2 linked regions of the Lytechinus pictus genome follow. The protein of the gene in region 1 purifies or fractionates together with the protein of each later gene. This does not show direct contact. Links are inferred from orthologs where the notes say so. Each region holds a gene or a part of one and is shown on either strand. Other genes may lie near its edges.

What was found. The genes of interacting proteins can lie anywhere in the genome.
Region 2: the proteins of probable global transcription activator SNF2L2 (region 1) and SWI/SNF-related matrix-associated actin-dependent regulator of chromatin subfamily B member 1-like purify together in Drosophila melanogaster (affinity purification with western blotting; 7 studies listed by BioGRID, with this or other methods). This does not show direct contact. The link is inferred for Lytechinus pictus from reciprocal best matches to the Drosophila melanogaster genes brm and Snr1.

What each region holds. Positions count from the first base shown.
Region 1 is NC_087255.1:22,750,182-22,757,494, forward strand, and holds the start of probable global transcription activator SNF2L2, read left to right. Parts: upstream 1-4,293; 5' UTR 4,294-4,385; intron 4,386-7,313. Other genes in the region: Fanconi anemia group C protein-like, read right to left, coding at 1,893-2,072. UniProt on the Drosophila melanogaster protein: Transcriptional regulator. Acts as a coactivator, assisting one or more dedicated transcriptional activators of ANTC and BXC homeotic gene clusters. Can counteract the repressive effect of Polycomb protein.
Region 2 is NC_087246.1:18,201,584-18,209,059, forward strand, and holds the start of SWI/SNF-related matrix-associated actin-dependent regulator of chromatin subfamily B member 1-like, read left to right. Parts: upstream 1-4,361; 5' UTR 4,362-4,438; coding exon 4,439-4,525; intron 4,526-7,476.

The DNA.
Region 1 (7,313 bases):
ATTCTGAACTCTGGTTTAAATCAAACCCTGGTTTAAAGTTTTAGTTTAACTATGGAGAGCCAATTGGGGCACAAATCCATAACAGGACACATCCAATTTATTGACTCATATGACATCCAAATCATTCATAATAGTCTGGGAATGATAACTGAAGTATTTTTCCTCATTATGGAAGCAAAAGGAAACAAAATAGTAAACATACGAAATATACAATATAAACAGATTTTTTTTTTTTTGGCTCCCCATAATTTTAGCACAGAATAGACCATGGTCTAAGTTAAACCCGACTTCAGAATACGGGCCAAATTGTTCGATTCTGGATTTTTGTACATGCCATCAATACGCAGGCTTGGCTAATATGGGGCAAATCTCAGATGAAAAAAAAAGCAAATTCTATGAAATCAATTAACAGTTGTTGGTCTGGATACCATTTCAGCAGCCAACATGTTATTGACATTGTTTTGAGGCAGACTGAGCTGAGATTTTGTTCTAGGCAGATTTTCAGTGCTAGATTGGAGATAGCTATAGGTCCAATGTGTCTACTGACATTTCATCAATTTTTTTGTTTACTTATTAATATTAAAACTGAACTAAAATTTCATTTCATATACTTCATATACTATATATCAGTTAAAGGGGAAGTTCATCCCTGACAAAAGTTTATTGTAAAAATAGCAGGAAAAAAAAATTATATTGCCAAAGGTTTGAAAAAAAAATCCATCATTTGAAGAATTAAAAAGTTATTAGAATTTCAATTCATTGATTTTTTTACGTCATAGGCGAGCACCATTCCTACATAGCGAATGGTAAAAATCAATGAAATGTCATTTTCTCAGAAAATTTGGAATGGTTTTTACTGTACCTTTTTATATCAATAGACAAATCATTTCACACCTGATCATGAATAGAAAACAAAAATGAGTCATCAGGAACCATTTAAAAAGAGAGAGGAAATTTATGCATTTCTATACAATAACATATGGGGCAGCTACTCGGTTATGACATCACAAATCAAAAATTTTAAATTCTAATAACTTTCTTTATAATCTTTTACAGATTTTCCTCAAACCTTCACCAATATATTTTATTATTCTTTTTGTTAGTTTTACGACAAACTTTTCTTCAGGGTGAACTTTCCCTTTAAATCTTCAGATTATTATTACTTATTGAAGAATTCAAGAGTCAGACTCAGCACACTTAAGCATATAGTCTCCAAAGGTCAAACCATCCAAAACTTGCATGAATGATTGTAGAATTTCATTGAAAATATCCTGTCCAAATATTGAATTATTACTGAGTTACTGTCTACTACTATAAAAAAAAAATGGCATTATCGTGGTTTATGTCACCAGTCCATTCACTGCCGTTTATTTCGTCAGCGGGGGTGACATCTTTCCACTCCCATTGACTTTGTACACAACGAGCGCACACACACCGACACACACAAGAAGAGAGGTGACAAATTTCACGATAAGGCCAAAAAAATAAATGAATAGTTTAATACTTGATTCAAGTAATAAAGAAATAAAATGAAAAACATTGACAGACATAATTCAGGTGAGAAGCTATTGTAGGCCCTAGTCAGTTAAATAAAAACTTTGAAATCGCACAAGAATAAAAATTTTCAAGTTATAATATAGATTCACGTATTTGATAAATTCATTTTCTTATCATTTATGGCTTAATTAAATACATGCAATTATATGGCAATGCATTGCAATTGAATTGTCATTGCCTGACTTGACTCGTATAGTCACTTCGCCATGCCCAGGCCATGGCCATTTGAGTGGGGAGTGGGCGTGGCAGCTATGTTACTTGCAGTTGCATCACTCAAGCCCAAGACATCCGAGACATGCATGCATCCCTGTGCATCCCTCCCTCCCAATACTCACTGCGATCAATCGGTTGAGCACCGCCGAGAGAAAGGTTTGAAGTTGTTCACTGCTTTGCGATATTTCCCGCGCTGGCGTTGATCTTCGATGATTCTGTTTCATTGAAACCCATTCTTCTGCTCTTTTCAACCAATATATAACATTATCATTAGAAAGCTTGTCATTTGTTGACATTTCCATATCTGAAAGCGATGGGGTTTGTCAACATTTCCACGTGAAAGATTGTAGTTTTTCGATTTGTATAACATGAAGGGCACCAATGAATTTGTACGTCTACAAAATGTAAATAAAGAAAGGAGCACAGTCTTATCGCAGACCTGTAGGATAGCTTCAAGGAATTATTGCGTGAATATAATACAAACAAGATAGTCTGATCCCCGAGACCATCACTTTAATTTTCTTTAGTGGTACATAAATAATATCGTTGTCCTTAAAGAATAAACTGATTATAATATTACAAATAATTTATTATATTATTTCTGTTTTGCAGCATTTTAATGACAAATATATGAGCAAGTACATATTAAAGCGACTGGAAAGCGAAATAGAAGTCATACCAGCTGAAGTTATCGCTTAATTTTTTTTTCTAATTGTCATGCAGTGGCATAACCACTGAACTGGAAATACGTATTCCCAGTTCAGTGGGCAGAACATACCTTGTTGTGGGCGTAAAGTTTTACCTATAAAACTTGTTTGCCCCTGGCATGTCGATTTGAAGATTTTAATACAGCTCTCGTATAAACACACCCCACGGTTTCCCCACCCACGATGAAGATAATAATAAAAATGAAGATAATAAGAGGGGTTTAAGCATCGGGGAAGGGGGGGGGGGGGGCTCTATAATTTTCAAGTAGTGAAAAAAAGGAAAATTGAAAAATATAGAGAAAAAAAAGAGAATAAATAATAAGTCGTATTTAAAGGGATATCCGGGCTGAAATATTTATATCTAAATAAATAGAGTAAAATTCACAGAGCAAAATGCTGAAAATTTCATCAAATCGGATAACAAATAACAAAGTTATTGAAATTTAAAATTTAGCAATATTTTGTGAAAATAGTATGCACGTCATCCTGAATATTCATTAGGTGGGCTGATGATGTCACTTCGCCCACTCTCCCTTTTCTTATGTTATTACATGAAATCATAATTGTTTCATTTTTTCACACATGTGTAAATGATGTGTCTCCATTATAGCAAAATAGGTTGCAGCAATGTATAATTAATGCACTTAATAATCGTGTCAATCCAAAAAGAACTAATTTAGTTCTTGGTAGAAAATTTTAAAATAAATTACTAGTAACCTTATTTCAAATAATAAATACAAAAGAAGTGCGGATATGACAAACTTCATGAATATTCATAAAGACATGCCTAAAACTGTTTCACCGCGGAATAATGCAAATCTTTAAAATTCAATTTGTTTATTTGTTATCCGATTTTTATTTAATTTTCAGCATTTTGCTCTGTGAATTTTACTCTATTTATTGAGATATGAATATTTTCAGCATGGAGTATGCCTTTACCTTTGTCAGATCTGGATTTTTTTAGCCACATTAATTATCTTTAACTCGCCAAACAAAGTAGAAGATGGTTTGCAGCAGGGGCGTCGGTCCATTTTTCAGATTGGGGGGGGGGGGGCAAAATCATGAATCACTGACGTTCCAAAGGCGCTTGATCACACAAAACAAACAAACTCACCCACACACACATACACAGGCCTATATATAATGTGATGACTACTTGTACCAAACGCTCTTGAGGTGTGAGTATATGAAACATAATGAAATGAGGACAACTCAAAAGATGACGCAGGAAACCATTCTTAGCTTTAGCTTTCGTCTTTATGAAGACTTCGTCAGAAGCAGTCTGTAATTAACTAATTACTAGTACAGACTATTGTGGTAGTAAAGTAGGATGCCTAGATCATTGCCTACCGTGCCGCCTATCGATACTGAAGCCCCCAGCACCCCCCCCCCCCCCACTTCCACGGCCCCTGATTATAAATGTATGTAATTTTGTGTAAGATAAATTAATTTGAAGTATTTTGGTTTGGGAGCACTTGGCACTTGGCAAAATATGCATGACTCACAAATCGTCTTCTCCTCAAATCTCTCTTTTTTTCTCCATAAAATTCATGACTACCGCTCCATGACCTCCATCCAATTTGATGCTAAATCTCTAACTTACAGGATTTGGATTGTTCTATTGGTTCTGGGAATCTCCAAAACAGTAGAGGGATCACCTAAGAGAGAGGTGTCTATCTTGTAATGACAGTGCCCCATCTTGGATTTTATCTTTTTCTTCAGATCATCAGATGGGCAAGAAAATCACACCAATTCCGATTATTTCCGGAAATTACCGACCGAAATGCGCTGCATGCTATGTATGCTGCGCTTCTTCAGTTTTCCGAAATTCACTGAACAAAAGGCTTGTTGCGGAGTATTGTGTGCGATAAAAGTGGGTCGCCGAAAGCTAAAAGTCGATTTTAATCGGTAAGAGAGTTTGTTCATATCTAAATCACCTGATAAATACCTATGTTTATTCTTGAATTCAAATTAAGACATGTTGTGGATGTACTGTACAAGGATCTTTCGTGGTGCTTGTTCGAAAATGGTCCAGGCCAAGCAAGAGTCGTGTAATTTTGTATGACGAGGAACCGATCGAGAGCTTGGCTTGGCTTGTGCATTGGCAAATTGTGTGTGATTGAATGACATGATTTTGTGAATTACAAAGAAGGCTACACAGTGTTATTGTTAGACTTGTGAAAAAAATATAAAGAATTGGGAGGGTGAACGAAAGAATGAAGGAGAGAATGAAAAGATGAAAGAAAAGAGATGAAATGGCTTGAAAAGAAAGGAAGAAAAAATGAAGGAAAAACTTAAAAAAGAATAAAACAAAGTTAGAATAAAGAAGGATGAAACTAAGAAAGAATAAGAGAGAAATAAGGTTTCCGTCATACTTTGAATTGAATATGGAAAGAAAGAAAAAGAAAGGAAGGGAAGATGAATAGTTAAATGTGAAAGAAGGAGAGAAAAAAGTAAGAAAAATGGAGGAAGAAAGAAAGAAAAATGGAGGAAGAAAGAAAGAATGAAGGAAAGAAAAATGTTTCCTTCATTTGAAAGAAAAAAATAAAGAAAGAAGAAAACAGGAATGAAGGGAGGGAAAGAAAGAAAGAATTAGAAGGAAAAATAGAATAAAGAATGAAAGAAAGGAGGAAAAAGAGGGAGGAGAGAATGAAAAAAAGAAAATAATGGAAGGAGAGAAAGAACGAAAAGAAAAAAGGAGAAGGGAGAAGGAAGCAAAGAAAAGTTTAAGGAAAGAAAGAATAGAGGAAATAAAAGAAATTAAAGAAGGCAGGTAAGAGAAAAAAAGGAAAGAAAGAAAAATGAACAGAGAGAGAAAGGATCAGAAAAGAAAGATAGGAAATTAAAGATAGATGGAACAAAAAAGGGTAAGCAGGAAGGATAGAAGGATGAAAAAAGAAGGATAGGAAAGAAAGAGGAAAAAGTTCAAACTTCAAGTGAACAAAAACAATCCAATCATCTAACAAAAATCATAATGATATTTGGTTTTTTTTTTTAACATATTTTTAAAATTTTAGAAAACTAAAATGTTTTAGAAATGAATAAAATTTCAAAGTGAAACATTGTCAACTTAAAAATTAGATGAAACATCGCCGCATCATACATGTACGCAACAAGACTCAAAACAAAAGCTGAAACAGCTGGATCTAGTTATGAAAACTCAATAGCTTGTTCCCTCCGATTACATATCCAAATCAGCAATCTGAGAATCCATAATATAATTATACAAATTTCCCGCTGATTTTGTGATTATTTTGGTGGAAAACTGTTTATCATGTCATTGTTTGCACCATTGAGAATCTGCTCCGATCCTACATGCCTAGCTAGTAGCCAGCCACACACAGGCAGGAGGCCAGTTCGTTTGTGCATGTATTGGGTTAGCAAGAAAATCACCGCAGAACTTGCAAAAGTTTAGTTATCGATTTTATTGTCGTCTCTGCTTCGTCATCTGTTTGATGAAATGTTATTATTATTAAATGTATTAACTATATTTTGTTCAATATTCTGAAGTACGGGACAAATAGGCGTCCGGGGAAGGGTTTGCCGGGACAAAGGAGCAAAATATGGGATGTTCCCGGGAAATACAGGACGTCTGGTCACCCTAGTTGTGTGTAAATTTTCAGTTTTAGCCCGGTGCATTATGAATTGTGGCATGGTACGCTAGTTTGGCAGACATAATTAACAGGCAAAATTGGTACATGTATGGCAAGTTCCCCTATAAAGTATGCGCAGTCCCCTTTGTCTGTTCATACGCGTATCTGCACGATTCTAGTAAAAGAAGATACGCAACGAACACACACATCTAATGCATAGACAGAAATTATTTTACAAAACCAGACTCACAATGGTGGAAAAATAATGAAATTTGAGCATTTCTTGCGACGGCCTCAAAATGCAGCCTTTCTCATCAAATCCCAGAATCGCGTGCAAAGTGATTGGTGCGCAGACATGGGGCACCATTTTTTGTTCAATCTGAAAATTACTGCCCCAGTTTTTTTTTCTAAGAAAATCATATATTTCTTTCAAATTTTTATGAGATATTTGGCACACTAAATCATAATGATGTGAGGAACATTATTAATTGAAAGATTTTGTGAAATAAAAAGAAATTCATGTTAAATCTTAACTCAAATCGTTAGGTGCCCAGACTTGGGGACCACCATCATATTTAGGTCTAACATTAAATAAATGTTATAAATGGGCATTAAAAATGATGCCCAGCAGCTACCTCAAGTATAGTAGAGTGTTTTGTCAAGATTTTTTTTTTTTAGGTCTAAATGACATTATATTATCTTGAACGATGGTCCACTATTTTCTTTAGACTCTAATCTTTCTTTTGATACAATGCATTTTCAAATAAAATTTCAAAAATATATGTTACCGATGATTTGTTCCTTATTTTTTGAATTTTTCTGCCGGAGAGGAAAAACTGGCAGCCATTTGTTGCTGCCCTGACATACGTTCGTTGAGTTAGGCTTTCATGAAGGCTTTCCCATTAGAATTATCGATATCCTGGCCAATCTATGCGAGCGACAAGTTCCGAACGCACGCATGCGCATTTGCATGATCAGATCTTGATCTATAGTCCTACTCATGAATATTCATGAATTGAGCTGTGATTTCTGCGCATGCACAATTTGCGTTTGAGATGTTGGAATCGGCAGTGAATTAATATGTGTGAGGAAACCGATACTGGCTCTAAATCACCAATTTGAAACTGATAGAAGCATGAAAAAGAAATGAAACTTTGTGAAATGTACCGTGGTACATGTAAGATGAGTTGTTATAAATGAATTGTAAGGTCATTTTGTTGCATGAGTTTGATATTCCCCCCAT
Region 2 (7,476 bases), on another chromosome or scaffold:
ATATAGATATATATGTATTATGTATACAAGCGCTCATACACTTGTGCAAAAACGTGTGGCTGGAAACTTTGAAAGAATAGAGTATGGTATATGATAAGCAGTGTGTTCATGTTGAGTCACCAAAATATGAAAATTTTTAGGTACAATTTAGGGAGTGTTTTGAATTCATTACACATAAAATCAATCATGCTCAGAAGATTTCTTTTGTATCTTCAATATTTTCTTGGGTTTTCCATTCTTTTCAAGTGATACCATTAGATGGGTATTTTGAGTGATATGAACTGATTTACATTTATAAAAATGTCAATGTTATTACATGTATGAGTGTGATATGTATTGTAACCAAAGCTACTGAAAGACATGTTGGGTAGATACTTTTGTTGCCTTAATGGCAGGTTAGCCATTTTTTTTTTCTTTTTATGGCAGGTTTTATTTAATTTTTTTTTTATCTTCATAAATCATTTTCTTTGGAATCGCTGTCGCATTACCTCTGTTTTTTCCTTTGTTAATATTTCTTTTAATAATTCAAATATGTTTCATTTTTGTACTTGTAAAGTGTGGTGAATACAACAGGTCATCAAATTATTTTGAAGAAAAAGATGAGTATCATTTGAAATCTCAACATCATGATTTATTTGAAAATAACTTTTTTTATTCCATTTCATAAATCAATTAATTTAGTTGGACATACTGAATTTTTAAGTTAAATTGAGGAGAAAGTAATACTTTTTATTGGTTGTCCAATTTTCTCATGAAGTCTTAATGGTGAAACAGATTATGCTTGCTTTATAGAGGTTGTATACACAGTTGATTTTTTTTTTATTCATTGAAACCTGTATATAAAGAATACTTAAAGGAGACAAGAAATTTGTATTTTATGAACACATGGTCTAAGATGAATTCAACTACAGAGCACATTTACTTATAGCAGCCATAACTGTATTTATTTTTATTTTATTTATACATTTATTTATTTATTATTATTATTTTTTTTTTTTTGGGGGGGGGGGGATTCCAAAGAAGAATGAAAGCATTTTCAATAAATTATGCAATAAGCAAGGTGTGTTGCTATGTAAATGCATGTAGTGCATAAATCATGTTGAAGATCCAAATTAGAAATTTAAAAAAAGAACAGCACCCAAACTGAATTTATCTATAGATATGGAAGATTCCTTGATTGCATGTTCAGTGGGGAAAAATATTCAAGGGAAATCAAATTTGTGGTCATTATAGATAGGTTGTATTTCTACACATGCTTTTGCTAAAGAAGGTTTGACTGTATATGGGATGCCAATTGAATCTACTTTGGTATGTGTATGTTTCCCACCTCTCACTAAGTTTATATTTGTTACCAATGGAAAATGAAGAATAGTGTACTTTTGTCCATATGTCTATGGTTCCACAGACAATCATAAGTTGGAGGCCAAATATACACGTGTAAAAAGATATGTGTCTATACTACTTGTACCAGTCAAGACAGTATATAGCCAGTGATTTCAAACATTTAACATATGTGATGCCATTTTTTTTATTAATAATTTTCTTTATCTTTTTTAATGTCTATGTGAATATAAAAAGGAAAATGGGAATGAAAACAGCATGTAAGCACAGGACATTTTTTTTTGCATTTTGGATTGTGTTTATTGAAAATATAAAGAATCAATTTTTTTTTTGTGTGTGGAAGATGTGAATGAGCCTGTAAAGGCCATTTATGTTGATATTTTTATTCTGTTCTCTTTCAGGACTCTCGTCTCATTTTCATTTTGTGCAAGCACCCATTAGTAAGGTGGAATGGAATACCCTTTTTCCCTTTTTTATGTTTATCTTCTATATACATCTTAAGTAACGTTATTGCTCATGCTTTATGTTATCCTCGCCATGTAAAGAATCAAAATAGTCTTATTTTATTTGTTTCACACATTGATCATCTTAATCCTTAATGTTTCATTTTATTTAAGTGTGTATGTTTGTTTGATAATGATGCAAAGCTTAAAAATCAATGAAATAATTACTTGTGTATTGCACATTAGTATTATAAATGATTTATGTGGACTATATACCATATGTATCATAGTGTCCGTACGATGTTTTATGATGTTGATTAATTCACCCAGAATGCAGTACATGAACTCAAATTTTTTTGTCATTTAAAATCTTAAAATAAGTAGCAGATTAGATAGCAATGTAAAACAGAAAGAGAGAGAGAGAAACAAAGACTCCAGAATGTGTAATTATTTTTCAGCTTCACTTTGTATACATTTATTGGACTCTAATAAATTCCTTGCCATGCTATAATCTTGTCTGCAGATATGATTTTTATATGTATAATTTGTTATTGCAGTATGTTCAAGAACAGGGGAGTGTTTTATCAAGTTGACAGATCTGACATCTTTCCTAGATTTTGATTGGCTTAGAGGCACTGTTATTATGGTAACCATCAGATAAAATGGGGTTTGTTGGATGAAACAAACGTGAAATGCTCCCCAGGACTCTGTGACACAAAGGTTTGCCATCAACTGCTAAATGGCATTGGCCAGTCAAGAACATTGTTGCATGTGTATTTTGTTTCAGATATTGAGCAGAAACCAATTAGAGCCTTTTTTTTATATTTGCATTCAGATTGCAAACCTATGTGTTGCAGGGCTAAAAACTGCCTCGGATTGAAAGATGGCATCCTGAAGTAATAAAACGTGTTTTTAAAAGCTCCATAAAATCTGATTTGTCAAGACTTGAAAAATAGAAATTAATATTCACAGTTGATTTGCATGGGAATAAGTCGATGACGACTCTACACTCCCAATTACAAGTAGGAGGCTCTGTTTTTTACTTCGTGAACCAGACTTGACTCTTTAAAGGTCAAGTCCACCAAAGAAAATGTTCATTTGAATAAATAGAGAAAAATCAAACTAGCATAACGCTTAAAATTTCATCAAAATCGGATGTAAAATAAGAAAGTTATTGCATTTGAAAGTTTCTCTTATTTTTCACAAAACAGAGATATGCACAAGTCGGTGTCATGCAAATGATGAGTCTATGTCCATCACTCACTATTTCTTTTGTTCTTTATTGTTTGATTTATACATTATTTCATTTTTTACAGATTTGACAATAAGAACCAAGTTGACTGAACCATATAGTATTAAATAATGCTAATTCCACATGTTCAAGAGGAATTAATCATTGTTTCAATAGCCTGACAATGAGGAGAAAATTAGAATATTTCATACTTCATATAATAAAATACAAAAGAAACAGTGAGTGGATGATGTCATCAGTTTCCTCATTTGCATACCAACCATGATGTGCATATAACTGTTTTGTGAAATTAAGTGAAACTTTAAAATGTCATAACTTATTTTACATCCAATTTTGATGAAATTTTCAGTGTTATGCTGGTTGGATTTTTCTTGATTTGTTCAGGTGGACTATTTGTTGGGGTGGACTTGTCCTTTAATACATCTCGAGTTGTGTGCCCCGCAAAACTGATTGTGTTATAGGTCCTTGTGTCCAATTGACTCACAAACATTGTTTCTTCAACTATCATGATAGAAGCATGCATAGAAGGTGGAGAAACAGGGGAGGGTAGAGAGAGGGGATAGAGAGATGAGGCCGCTCCTAGGTGAGGGAGGGAGGTAGGGAGAGCGAGAGGGAGAGAGCAAACAAATACCAACAAAGCAAAACGTGAGTTTACAAACTGGAGTAAACTCATGAAGACCATATACGTCTCGTGACATATCAAAGTGGATGCCATATGCTTTTACACATGGACTTCCAAAATGGACCCTGAACAAGTCATAATCCTCAATCAGATATCTAACCAAATATTTTGTCATGTCTTTTTTTAATCCTAAAATGCCTGAAATATATCACTGTCATGATAGGGTAGAAAACTGTTTTTCTTGATTTTGGCCTTGTCACTATATGACGTTACATTCCTCGCTGTGATAACCCTCTTTTATATACATGCTTTTGTGTACTTTCACAGTGTCCACATTGAAATGGCAGTGCCAGTCCTCCCCAAAGCCTCATTGATTTAATATTCACATCTAAGTTATACACATGCCCCGTTATTTCACTAAAATGATGCCCTTGTTGTGGCTCATTCTGGTAAAATCTGCCCCCCGCAAAAAAAAGAGAAAGCCAGTGGAAGATATATTTTTTTCATTTATAATTAAATCGTAGACTATTAAATTGAAATTGAATTGGATTGATTGAATCGAAAAAAATCAAGTAGGGTGGAAAAACGGTACTATCATCTAGTAAATAATTAATTCGGTGCCCCGCGGTGTGGGGCCTTCACTGACCCCCTTCAATTTTTTTCTTTTTAATTGCTGGCGCGGCGCTGAAGTAAATTCGCCAATACCATTCACGATAACATTCGTGATTTCGATTCGGCTGCGCTGATATTAAAGGAAAGTACGAAAGAAAAGGATACAAAATGGGGACACCTCTAAAAACATACGGGAAGAAGCCCGATGTCTTCCATTTTGAAGAAGGAGGAGAGCAATATATGATTGGTTCTGAAGTAAGTAAAATTCGTTTTATTGATATTTTGCCTCAAATTAGTGGTAGGAAAAGACACACTCGCTGACATGACACAGTCAGTCTGTGCAGTGTGTGGCACGTCGCGGAACGCATCCCCTGCCCGGCGTCAGCCCAAAGCCAAAGGCCAAATCCTTTGTTCGCTGTGCGCTGAATTCCTGCGGCTGCGCTGCCTTTTTTTGTGGGGGGGGGGGGGGGGGGGAGGGGACTTTCATATACATGCCCACTCTACCAAAAGCAAAAAAAAATAAATTATGTGATCTTGAACTAGAAGATATTAAAAATTAAAAATTAGGGCCAAATTGTGGTTTCGGGAACCACTCGTCGATTATTTTATTTGTTCGCGTGCACTTTAAGTTCTAACATTAACATTAATTATTTAAAGTTAAAGTTAAACGTTAGTCAGCAGAGTCGAGGTGGATTACGTTAGGGTTTATTACATGCCACCGCACACAGAAAAATCAAGCCATAGATGATAAGAAGTCGTGTGTTGTGGACACCAGACAGTAGAGGCGCACAGCCAATATTGGAGACTGTCTCCAATGTGGGAGATTATCTCCAATATCAGAGACTTTTGTAAAGAATTTGGGTAGGCCCCCCCTATCCAATTTCAGAGACAGTCTCCAGTTTTGGAGACCAATTTCCTTTGTTTACATTTGCTGCAAAAGGATTACCTTGGCGGCAAATAAAAATGTGCTAAGGAGATTCCTCATGAAAAATTGCCCCTTTTCACCGTCTACTTTAAAAATTCACCGTCTACTTTTGTTTTGATAAGGATTTTCGTTGTCAATCACACACAAAACAAATGGGCTTCTGACCTCAGTGAGACAAAATTTTGGATGGAAAAAATCATGCTATTGTTGGTGTTGTTTCTTTTGTCCTTTTGCAAAGCAAAGGTGGTGCTGCACCATCCCGAGTTTGCTCAATCTCGAGATTTTAGCCCGATCGGCCCACTTCGCGATTAATCTCGAGATTCAAGAAACCCCGTCTGCACCATCGCAAGACAGCGATTCCTGCTCGAGCGAGGCAACAAACCCGATATTTCGAGCATGCGCACTTTCGGATCTTGGAGTTTCAACGGCCCGCGCTTTTGAATAACTTCCCGCGATATGCAAGCAATGTACTCCTTTCACTAGCACTTTCGCCGAATTCGACCGGTGTTATGCAACAATCCTCTCAGCCCAGCGAGTGAAGAAGTGATGTATTCTTCGTTAAATATGAGTAGGAGACAACGACAGAGAGAGAGAGAGAGGGAGAGAAGGAGGAAAGAAATGCTATTTGCTCACATTTTGCGAAGGAATAAGACAACACTGCTGTCAGTGTTGTTATTGAATATGACCATCGTCGATGAGCGCCTCCCCCTTCGGTCTGGTCTCTCCCAAAATCCATTCACTGGTGGGACACCATCGTTGCTTATTAGGCAATTGATGAACGCTATTCGCATGTATAAAGTTGACTTTCGCACGTGTTTATGTTTTGACCAAGGCGGAAGTGGAACGCGAATTGCATTATGGACTGACGTCATGAATAAATTACCCTGAGTCCAATCTCGAGTGCGTCTGCACCGACGAATTAGCGGGATAATTCGTAAAATAGCGCGCTATTTTGCAAATAAACCCGAGTTGACTTGGGATTGCAATCTCGAGATTAATCCTACGAACTAGCGCGATAATTGCGTCTCCACCGCCAACTATCTCGAGATTTTTCAGATCGGGATAATTTGCCGGATCAGAAATAGCGCGCTAATTTGAAAACTCGGGATGGTGCAGACGGCCCTTATGTCTCCAATGTGGGAGATTGTCTCCCCTATTGGAGAGAGTCTCCCATATTGGCCGTGCGCCTCTACTGCCAGAAGTGGGATCGCAGCACGCGCGACCCACTACTAGTTAGAAATCCACTGCCAAACGCGGTTCATGGTGGGAGGTTAGTATATTAACCTCGCAATACGTGTGAGTGACGTTAGAGAACCGATGCGTGTGACCGAATAAAGACACTGCTGTGTTCCCTATTTCACGAAATTATGCCAGGGATTGCCAGATTTAGGATGGAAAAGTTGTATGTGGCTTTAGATCTAGATCTATAGTCGGAGTCTAGACCTCTAATTATATTCTGAATTCTGTCAAATTTTCGTGCATGATCAAGTAGGCCTAGGCTAGGCTAGAGTATATTAGTGGATCATATATTTACTACCAATCACTGTTTATAGTCATACTATTATAGATCTACAGTACATTCAATCATATTTCTTGAAATTTATCAAACTTCCACCATAGATCTACACAAATAGATCTACCTACAAAAAATAAATTACCGAGATAAGTTTTCTTTTTACGATCAACTTTCGATCGCACCCCTCTCCGCATGTGAAATTCACTTGAAAATGGTATCATAATTCATTACCCAAGGTGTGTTTTCTGTGGGAAAAGCTAAGTATGATAATTCTCAAAATCACTGATCAGCTATTTTGAGCATATGTAGTTCAGAGAGAAAAAAAAAACCCCTCTATTTTCATCACTTTTGGCTTTGGAATGATGTTGCAAAGTTTTTTGAAATTATTTTCTGATGTCTCAATATATGTATGCATGTTGAGTAATACAAGGCCAGCCGCTGTTGGTACTGTTTCTCCTGAAACTAACTGAACAGTAGAATTTTAATGTGTGCATGCCATGGCAACTATTTTAGGGGTGTAGGCATGTCTTTGCTTTAAAAGAAATTGTGTCGGGTCTCGTGAGGGGGGGATGGGACTTGTGGACACTGGACACCATACTAGTACACATAATTTTAATAAATTTTGAACAAAACTGAGAATGCGAAAGCTCATATACAGGACATTTCTTTTTTATTTGAAATGAGCTGCTCTGCAAATAAAAAATACAGAAAAAAGAGAAATTAGCTTTAAAGCTGAACTCATCACACCCCTGCAAATTCACTACA